Linked DNA regions of Arabidopsis thaliana. The protein of the gene in region 1 interacts with the protein of each later gene in a pairwise test. Each region holds a gene or a part of one and is shown in the gene's direction. Other genes may lie near its edges.

Region 1 (5,276 bases):
ACAGTTTTGGTATAAAGTATAAACCAAAGGCCTCGTATCAATTTGAACAAAAGATCTCCACTCCATCCCGAAACAAATACTACCTTGCTTTTTTTTTTCTTTGTACCCTATTAATATTTTTTTGACATTTCTTTTGGTTCAAGTAAAAAAAAGGAGAAATTAGTGTTTTTGGTTGCAAATCTATTTGTAAATTAGATGTCAAGAGAAGTGTTACTTGCCCTAGTGGTTTATCACATATCCGACGTCAACCGGAAATATTAAATTAAAAAGTATGAATAATCTATCTTTGTATATCCGCATTTACATTTTTTTTTGTTTCTGGAAAAGTATCGATCCTGTTATATATACCTAAAGTTTAAAATGCGAAATAAGAAACAAAAAGAGTTTAGTTTATGAAAACATTATCATAATGATACCAAAAAGGCTAAGGAAAAACAAATTACAAAAAGGCTACATCATTTTTTAAAAGAGAGTGTGTGCTTCACATATAAACAAGGAAACGCATATAATAATCATCAAGTAGCTAGATGAAGCTAAAGAAGTAGTTAAGTGTGAATGCTTGGCAATTAAGATTGTGTTGGTTCATTTATTAACAATCTTTGACCACTCACTAATTTATTTTTGGCTCTCTCTTCTATATCATCACCGTTTTATCTTTATAAACCATCCCTCAAGACTCTCCCAATATTACATGATGTGTTTAATCCTCACGAATTCGCATGAATCAAAACCGGCTGAAAAACAGATGTAACATTTAAGTTAACATACTCACACCAATCTAAATTATTAGACTTTCATTCACTTTAACACATTTGTCCATACCATGATGATCATAACAATCAGTAGCTAAATCAATGTGAGTGTGGCTTAGATATTTGATCTGAATGATTCATGAGAAACATGGATACTTAATGTTCATGTGCATGTGCATATAATAGTATATTAATCTCACCAGTAGGATGCTTAGTATAGCAATAAAGAGAAGGTGGTGAAATTGATGAGCATCGGCCATTAAATTAAGCACTGACCCATTAATTGCGCACTTACCCATAAACACCATTCACTCCTTTTCATTAACTTAAGAGTAAAATTATACATACACCTCGCTATCTCTAACACTAGTCACACTAGTGTACCTTCCTCGGTACTCTTATCAATGTCTCGTGTCGCAATAAATCCATATAAAGATTTCTAACTAGGTCAATCCAACATCCAATTTAATACAACAGTCCTTAGTAGATTCTAATTTAAGTGTGTCTCTATATATATATGGACCGACAAAATCAATGACCTAAGATTTGACTATATATTTCATGCAAATATGATAAAATGCTATTCATCCAATTAATCATCAATATTGTAATTGGGCTGGCCTTTTGCTTATATCTTTAGGCATTTTCTTTAACAAAATTAGAGCCAGGCCCATCAATTAAATTGAAAAATGCTTAGAAGTTGTCACGTCACTGTCCATGTCATCCATGGTGGGATTGGGCTGGCCTAAAGGACTTTTCTATGTAAAAATTAGAGGCAGGCCCATCAACTAAATTAAAAAATGCTTAGAAGTTGCCACGTCAGTGTCAATGTCATCAGTGTCTATTTCTAACGCCGTCAAGTAACGGAATAACGCAACCGAATATTCTTTCATCACATGGCCGCTTCTGCAGCACGTGACTTTCAAGCTTCTGTTTTCCTTATGAACTAAGTTTTTCTGTTTCCTCCAAACTATTTTTTTTAATTAGAATATCTTGTTATTTATAACGAATATATCTTCTTCTTTTACTTATTTTTAACACAAATATTTATTTGTTTGATACGAATTCTCAAAATGAGAAAAACGAAGAAAAATAGAAAAAAATCGAAACGGATAAATACAGAGAATTTAGAGAAAAAAGGTTTGTATTTTAGGAGACAAGGACGAGTGAAGTCGTGCTTTTTCTTTTTTTATTTCATGTTAATTTTAATATTTTTGGGTTATAGTTTCTTAGGAAGCAACATCAATCATCAAAACGCGGCGGCTCTTGTCGTATCAAAGCAACTGAACGTTGTCGTTTTGGGACAATCCTTATCTCTTGGGGCAACCAATTATTGCCTTTTTTCTTCCTCTCTTTCCTTATTCGTTCTCTTCTTGAAGATATTTTTCCATTTATTTTCTCGAATCTTCTTCTTCTTCCTAGATTCCAGCGACTTAACAACAACAACAACAACATATTCTCTGCTGGGTATTAGATTCGAATTTCTCTTTTTGTGATCAGAAATGGATCGAGCTCCGGTGACCACAGGACCGTTGGATATGCCGATTATGCACGACAGTGATCGATATGACTTCGTTAAGGATATTGGTTCTGGTAATTTCGGTGTTGCTCGTCTTATGAGAGATAAACTCACTAAAGAGCTTGTTGCTGTCAAGTACATCGAGAGAGGAGACAAGGTTTCATTTTTAAAAATCTCATCTTTTTCTATTTTTGGAAGTTGATGATATTTATTTAGTCCAGTGATCGTTCATTTTTAGTGTTTGGTTTAGCTTTCACTTTCCAGATTTATTGGTTTCGTACTTAAAGTTAGCGTTTTTAGATTTTGATGATTATGCTTTTGAGTGCTTTTAATGTGATTTTAAAGATGTGAGCTTCCTAACACTTGAATGATGATTTTAATTTGTGATTTATGTGAAATTTTGGATATTGAAATGATTTTTTTAGTTGGTTTTGAGTGTTCTGCTTTTGTAGATTAGGACAGTTGTGAATGACTTGTAACTATGGGAGTTGCAGATTGATGAAAATGTTCAAAGGGAGATCATTAACCACAGGTCACTAAGGCATCCTAATATTGTCAGATTTAAAGAGGTAAAATTTATACACTTTTCTTCAGTACTTGTCTTTTTGGAATTTGTTAAGCCAGTGACTCTTTTAAACTCTGTTTCTTGTACTTGAGGATAGGTCATTTTGACGCCGACTCATCTGGCTATCATAATGGAATATGCTTCTGGCGGTGAACTTTACGAGCGGATTTGCAATGCAGGACGGTTTAGTGAAGATGAGGTTTGTATTTGGTTCTCTTATCGGGTTTACAGGTCTCCGGTTTCCTTATGGTTTGATCTCTTCTTGTAAACAGGCTCGGTTCTTCTTTCAGCAGCTTCTATCTGGAGTCAGTTATTGTCATTCGATGGTATGTAGAGAATCTGTTTCATGGAGCCTATGGACTGGTTGTATTCTTGTTTTTTTCTAACTTGTTGTTAATACTCTACTTTTTTTCATGTGCTGTGAAGCAAATTTGCCATCGTGACCTGAAGCTAGAGAATACATTGTTGGATGGAAGTCCTGCTCCTCGATTAAAAATTTGTGATTTTGGATATTCAAAGGTATCACAAATGATTTTGTTCTTTTGGTATCAGAAACTATACACTTGTGGTTCCTCCATTGTCATGTTCAAATGTGTTTTTAAAGTGTTTGCTTATGCATTTCTTTTTGACAGTCTTCTGTTCTTCATTCACAACCAAAGTCAACTGTTGGTACTCCTGCATACATCGCTCCAGAGGTACTGCTTCGTCAGGAATATGATGGCAAGGTAAAGGCTTTTAGAGAATTCCTCTGTAATCTCTGTATTTCTAAGGATGAATAGCCAATCATTGAGTGTTACGGTTACCAGATTGCAGATGTATGGTCATGTGGTGTGACCTTATACGTCATGTTGGTTGGAGCGTATCCGTTCGAAGATCCAGAAGAGCCAAGAGACTATCGGAAAACAATACAGGTAACCGCTTAAAACGTTGTTCCTTTTGTTCATCTCTTGATGTTCCTCTTATTCTCTTAATGATTCTGAAACACAGAGAATCCTTAGCGTTAAATACTCAATCCCTGATGACATACGGATATCACCTGAATGCTGTCATCTTATTTCAAGAATCTTCGTGGCTGATCCCGCTACCGTAAGTCATTCCCTTTCCTCATCTCTAATCTTTAAACCATCGGCGAGATGACTGATGTTTGATGTTGTTTGTTACAGAGAATAAGCATACCAGAGATCAAAACCCATAGTTGGTTCTTGAAGAATCTCCCTGCTGATCTAATGAACGAGAGCAACACAGGAAGCCAGTTCCAGGAGCCTGAACAACCAATGCAAAGCCTTGACACAATCATGCAAATCATCTCTGAAGCCACAATTCCCGCTGTTCGAAACCGTTGCCTAGACGATTTCATGACTGACAATCTTGATCTTGACGATGACATGGATGACTTTGACTCTGAATCTGAAATCGACATTGACAGTAGCGGAGAGATAGTTTACGCTCTCTAATAAAAAGCCTTTTTTAACAACCAAAACACTTCTCTATCTGTTCTAAGACCAGTAGTGTTCTGATCCTCTGGTTTCAAATTCTACCAATTTTTGTATTGTCTCTGTTTGTTTCTTGTTTTCTTCATGCACACATATATCATATATGTAATGTAAAATATCATCTGTGTATATTATATATATATTCCAATGTCACACAAAAGCAAATTAACAGTTAAAACAGTTGAAGCAAGTTGAGGTTATGTTCTGTTTTTTCCTCTGTGATCGTCAGATTCTTCATTTCTGGTTTCAATATTTTCCACAAGAACGCAGTATCTTCGTCGCATTTCACTTCCAGATTCTCTAGATTCTTCACAGAATCCGGTAACTCGCATCGATAACAATCTTTCATCGAAATCTTCTCAAGCTTCTTGAGCTTTCCAATTTCTAGAGGCAGGTTTTTCAGTTGGAAGCCACCAGAAACATCAAGAAACCGCAAATTGTCGAGTCTGTCAATCGTTTCAGGTAGCTCTAAGAGACTAGCACAAGAACTCAGTCTCAGCGTTTCAAGGTCCCTTAAGTCACCTATAGCTTCTATGACTCTGCAAAGCTTGTTACAATTTGTGACACTAAGCTTCTTCAATGAAACAACTTGAGAGATCCAATATGGTAATTCATCAAGATTGTAGCAATAGTCAATCTCGATTTCCTGTAGACTTTGTAAAGTTTCAGAAACATCTTCTAATTCGTTGAGAGCATCAACAACGTGACAAAACCATAAGGACAACTTCTCAAGACTCTTGAGACCAAGTTTGGGAATGTCAAGCAAACTGATTGAAACTTTCTCGAATCTGATCCGTTTCAGGTTTGGTAACGAGCTGAGACAAGACAAGTTAGTCAACTTTGCAGGCTCAAGACCGTGATTTATGATAATCACAACCTTCAATTCCTTCATAGTAGCAATGAAGTTTGGTAATGCATAGTTTGATGAAGAGATATTAAGAACTAAA
Region 2 (5,325 bases), on another chromosome or scaffold:
AAAATCTTGAGAAAAACGATGAGATTCGGGTTCAGATTTTTTCAAAAATAGTTTTATTCGTGAAAGATTTAAATTCGAGCGGAGATTGTTCCGCCCACTTTAAAAAATATTTTATTTTCTCTAAATAATTTTAAAATAAAATAATTATAATAAAAATGAAAATTTGAAATTTTTAGACACCATAAACTAATATGTTAATAAAATTATTTTATCCAAAATTAGAAAATTAATGTCATATAATCTAAAAAATTAATAGTTAATTGAGATGATAAGGGTAAAATTAAAATTTTATTTTTGTTGTCAGATCGTGAGTATGAAAATAACAATATTTAATTGTTTGAATATTTAAATTGCACAGTTTTATTATTTCATGTATTTTTCATGTATTTTTCTTCTTAGAAAAAACAATTGGGTATTAAACGTTTAAATAAAAATTAGTTAAGGTTTTTTTTTGGATTTTTACCCATTAGAAAACTCTTCCTTTTCATTTATTTTTACTTCTAGTAGTAGAGGTAATTTTTCTTTTTTGATTAACAAAGTCGTGAGGTTTGTTAGTAGAGACTAGAAAGTTGTTGAATGGGTAATTGATATGTTTTGCTCCACAAGAAAGCGGAAGTTTTTAAAAAAAAAGAAACAAAATTAGCATTACAATACCAATGATTACATATGTAAACAATATTTCCCGGAATTAGCTCGTATGAATCTAAATTAATATTGACAAAAAAAAAAATACCAATGATCACATATATGACAAAAAGAAAGAATGAAGGAGAACTCTATCATGGTTTGATGCTCATTCTATACGCTGGCCCAACGGTGACACGAAAGTAGACAATTCTTTTAAATAAGTTATCAAATTATAAAGAAGTAGAAATCATCAACATACCATTTACCAAGTGAGGAGAGGGCAAAATTTCCAAATTTGGAAGTGAATTGTATTAAACTCGACGCAAATCTTCTTAAAAGTCTTCTTCTTTTGGGTTGCTTGGATATAATGATTATTGCTTGATGTCAAAATTCGCACACCATTGGGATGATGGGACCCAAAAAGAATCACTACCCACTTCTGCCGTTGTTTCAACATCATTCATGTATAATAATCACAGTTTATCAAGCACACAAAATATCTTACATGAGTAACAACAATATGATATTAAAATTAATTTGGCACATAATTTAATCATTTGGTGTTCCGACCGACATGATACTATACTATAATTTTATTCCCATTTCATTTCTTATTTTTTTATATGCATAGAAAATTATTTAAATGCAAAATAAAATTTTAACCAAAAACCTCTAGTCTAGTAGTTTGTTCGATTGTATATAGAGTATTTTGTCATGTGCATAGATTACCACCATCTACGAACATTGTTGTGGTTTGATTTTCTCTTTGATCGCGGTAAACACCAACAATATATGACTAGACATTCATAAACTTCAGATGAGTTAGGATTTGATTTTTTAGAATTTTGGTTTTGAAAAAAAATTAGCCAACTAAAAATCAAACAAAAATTTACTGCGGTTCATAAGTAAAAAAAAAATCAATTTCCTTTTTAGTAATTTTCTTGGAGTCGAATTGAAGTAAAATTGTGCAGTTTACAACACAGAATTCGATATTTAAAAAATTTCTGTTGGCGAATTAAAATTGAAATACTATAATTATCCAAACTTTCTTCGGTTAGTTAATTAAGATCAGAAATAATGTCTAAATGGCAAGGTTAATATGGATATTTGTATCAGATCTAATCCCATTTTTAAAGAAAACAAACAAGGCAAAGGACACAATCAGCGACTAAAGCTCTCACACGTTACAGCTTCTTATTGGTTAAAAATGAACGTGGTTGTCAGCTAAATTAAGTGACTATGTTTAATAATCATTAAAACGGGATATTTATTAGTTTATTACCAAAAAATGAAAGCAAAATATCTAAACAATAAATAAAATAAAAAACCATAAGAGGAAAAAGCTTAACCCCTTAAAATGGCAGTTCGTGTCGAAGCTACTACAAACACACTTGTCGTCTCTTCTCTCTCTCGCAGCTCTTCTCTATTTTCAGCAATCGCCTATAATATTAGGTAAAGCTTCCTTCTTTTTGTTTATCCGTTTTCGTTTTCTTTTCTTCTCGAATCTGTCTTTGTCTTATCACATCCCCTGAAGTGTTATACTTTTTTTTTTTTTGGGTCCGATTCATAATATCTGTTTTGTCTTTTTTTTGGTTCTATGTTCTAAATCAAGTAGTAGTAGTAATGAAGTAACTATTCCTAAAGAAATTAAAGGATAAGACTTTTTTGTTTTTCTTCTTGAGGGTTTGTGTGATCTTGCTTTTACTCCAGAATCTTTTATAGATCTATCTTTTAGATACATTCAAGAATGGTCAAAGTTATGGATTTTGATCCAATCTTATATTTCTCTCTGAATCCAAGGATCCAATTTATACTCTCTGTATCACACACTTCTATGTATATGTTTGTGATTGATTGCTTCTGGCTAAAACTTTATAAAGTTTTGACATTTATATGAACGTTCCTGCCTTTTGCTTTTGGTCTTCTTTGCTTGCTCTTATGCAAGTATACTTAAAAGCACTATGTGACACATAGTTGTGTGGTGTGTTATACTCCTAAACCAGTTTCAATTTTCTGGTCTTGTTCTCTCTTAGGTAAAGCTAAAAGGGTCTGATTCGTTTGTTTTTTCACTGAAGAATTTGGAAGGAAGTGATTCCGTTGTGAAACAGAAAAGAAGTATGGGTACTCACATTGATATCAACAACTTAGGCGGCGATACTTCTAGAGGGAATGAGTCAAAGCCATTGGCGAGGCAGTCTTCGTTATATTCCTTAACGTTTGATGAGCTTCAGAGCACATTAGGTGAGCCGGGGAAAGATTTTGGGTCTATGAATATGGATGAGTTACTCAAGAACATATGGACTGCTGAGGATACTCAAGCCTTTATGACTACTACATCTTCGGTTGCAGCCCCGGGACCTAGTGGTTTTGTTCCGGGAGGAAATGGTTTACAGAGGCAAGGCTCCTTGACCTTGCCTAGAACGCTTAGTCAGAAGACTGTCGATGAAGTCTGGAAATACCTGAATTCGAAAGAAGGTAGTAATGGGAATACTGGAACGGATGCGCTTGAGAGGCAACAGACTTTAGGGGAAATGACTCTGGAAGATTTCTTACTCCGTGCTGGCGTTGTTAAAGAAGATAATACTCAGCAGAACGAAAACAGTAGTAGCGGGTTTTATGCTAACAACGGTGCTGCTGGTTTGGAGTTTGGATTTGGTCAGCCGAATCAAAACAGCATATCGTTCAACGGGAACAATAGTTCTATGATCATGAATCAAGCACCTGGTTTAGGCCTCAAAGTTGGTGGAACCATGCAGCAGCAGCAGCAGCCACATCAGCAGCAGTTGCAGCAGCCACATCAGAGACTGCCTCCAACTATCTTTCCAAAACAAGCGAATGTAACATTTGCGGCGCCTGTAAATATGGTCAACAGGGGTTTATTTGAGACTAGCGCAGATGGTCCAGCCAACAGTAATATGGGAGGAGCAGGGGGTACTGTTACAGCTACTTCTCCTGGGACGAGCAGTGCAGAAAACAATACTTGGTCATCACCAGTTCCTTACGTGTTTGGTCGGGGAAGAAGAAGCAATACGGGCCTGGAGAAGGTTGTTGAGAGAAGGCAAAAGAGAATGATCAAGAATCGGGAATCCGCTGCTAGATCAAGGGCTCGAAAACAGGTAAAGTTACCGTTTTGTTCTCAAAAACTTTGATATCAATATCATCTAACCAAACTGCCATTACCGTTTTCTTTTCAAGAACTTTGAAATCATTTTGATGTTTTGGCTAAACCTCAGGCTTATACCTTGGAACTGGAAGCTGAGATTGAAAGTCTCAAGCTAGTGAATCAAGATTTGCAGAAGAAACAGGTTTTTTTCTTCTACCATTTTTATTGCTTCTCCATAGAGAGTCTAGCTGGCTCAGTTATTTAACTGCGGTCTCTCTATGTTGCAGGCTGAAATAATGAAAACCCATAATAGTGAGGTAATAACGTTTTTCCTCTACTTATGTATATTTCATGTATACACCATCATTGTCTCTACATTACCAGACATTTTGTGTCTGTCTAAATGTAGCTCTATTGTCATTTTGATGACACACAGTTCACTGATACTAGTACTTGAATTTGCAGCTAAAGGAATTTTCGAAGCAGCCTCCATTGCTGGCCAAAAGACAATGCTTGAGAAGAACCCTTACCGGTCCGTGGTAAGAAGGTGAAGTCAAAGCAAGAAGAACCTGCTAATGTAATACAGGACCACTCAAAAGGAAGACACTGGGAGAGTAATATGTAATAGAAGATAGTGCTACTGTACAGGAGAAATTACAGAGACGCTTACAATGTAGAAATCTTTTGAGCTGAATTTAACTAAGAGTGCAGTCTGTGTAGAGTATGAGAGCTTTCAATATGAATTCATAATTTTCATAAACATATGTAAAACTTTCAGATTTAGCTATAGAGAAGATGTGACTAACTCAGAAAGAAAATCCGTTAATTGGAGAGTGAGGTAAACTCCGGCTGTAATGTGACCTGGAAGTAGTACTAGACGATGGACCAAAGATCCGGGAATCACCTCTTTGAATTCTCAAATTGCTTCTCTTCCTACTATCCCAGCCTATCTCTTCTTCAACCGCTTTAGCAAATGCGCTATGCACCGGATCACAGCTTTCACACAACAGCCTCAAGACTTGCTTAATTGATGGCCTAGACCGGCCTTCTTTCTCGGTACACAATCTCACAACCGTCACAACTGCATCAAGTTGTTTTCCTCCAGCATCATTAATAGAGTCTTTGATTCTCGGGTCTACCAACTCGAGGTGTTTTGATTTCGCCAACAAAAACCGCTGAGACATTTCCACAAGGTTCCTACCTTCATCAACTGCTCTTCTCCCGGTTATGAGCTCCAGCAACACAACTCCGTAGCTGTACACATCACTCTTCTCTGTCAACTCTTGCGTTACTACATATTCCGGATCTACATAACCTGAAAAAACTTCAAGTTTTTAAAACTCAGCTTCCATCAAAAGTAGTCAAGTTATTCTGTTCAGTATCTCTCCCAAACCTGGAGTTCCACGGATATCGGTATTCACAGGCTCAAAGCAAACAGAGCCATCTCTAGACGAATGTGCAAGGCCAAAATCTGAAAGCTGCACCAAGAAAACATTATTAGTTATCCAAATACCAAAGGGTTCTCTAACACAGAAGATGTGCAGTACTACATACCTTAGCGACGAAGTTCTCATCGAGTAATATATTGCTTGATT

What was found.
Region 2: the proteins of SNRK2.3 (region 1) and ABF1 interact in a two-hybrid assay, tested with the Arabidopsis thaliana proteins (one study listed by BioGRID).

Annotation. Positions count from the first base shown.
Region 1 is NC_003076.8:26,708,443-26,713,718, forward strand, and holds SNRK2.3 (sucrose nonfermenting 1(SNF1)-related protein kinase 2.3), read left to right. Parts: upstream 1-1,859; 5' UTR 1,860-1,892; intron 1,893-1,977; 5' UTR 1,978-2,254; coding exon 2,255-2,428; exon of another isoform or gene 2,429-2,765; coding exon 2,766-2,840; intron 2,841-2,933; coding exon 2,934-3,035; intron 3,036-3,108; coding exon 3,109-3,162; intron 3,163-3,262; coding exon 3,263-3,355; intron 3,356-3,468; coding exon 3,469-3,561; intron 3,562-3,642; coding exon 3,643-3,747; intron 3,748-3,823; coding exon 3,824-3,922; intron 3,923-3,999; coding exon 4,000-4,290; 3' UTR 4,291-4,501; downstream 4,502-5,276. Other genes in the region: AT5G66890 (Leucine-rich repeat (LRR) family protein), read right to left, coding at 4,502-5,276. UniProt on the Arabidopsis thaliana protein: Together with SRK2D, key component and activator of the abscisic acid (ABA) signaling pathway that regulates numerous ABA responses, such as seed germination, Pro accumulation, root growth inhibition, dormancy and seedling growth, and, to a lesser extent, stomatal closure.
Region 2 is NC_003070.9:18,398,082-18,403,406, forward strand, and holds ABF1 (abscisic acid responsive element-binding factor 1), read left to right. Parts: upstream 1-1,924; 5' UTR 1,925-2,079; intron 2,080-2,105; exon of another isoform or gene 2,106-2,702; 5' UTR 2,703-2,744; coding exon 2,745-3,743; intron 3,744-3,860; coding exon 3,861-3,932; intron 3,933-4,017; coding exon 4,018-4,072; intron 4,073-4,195; coding exon 4,196-4,281; 3' UTR 4,282-4,536; downstream 4,537-5,325. Other genes in the region: AT1G49730 (Protein kinase superfamily protein), read right to left, coding at 4,537-5,045, 5,124-5,208, 5,285-5,325. UniProt on the Arabidopsis thaliana protein: Binds to the ABA-responsive element (ABRE). Could participate in abscisic acid-regulated gene expression.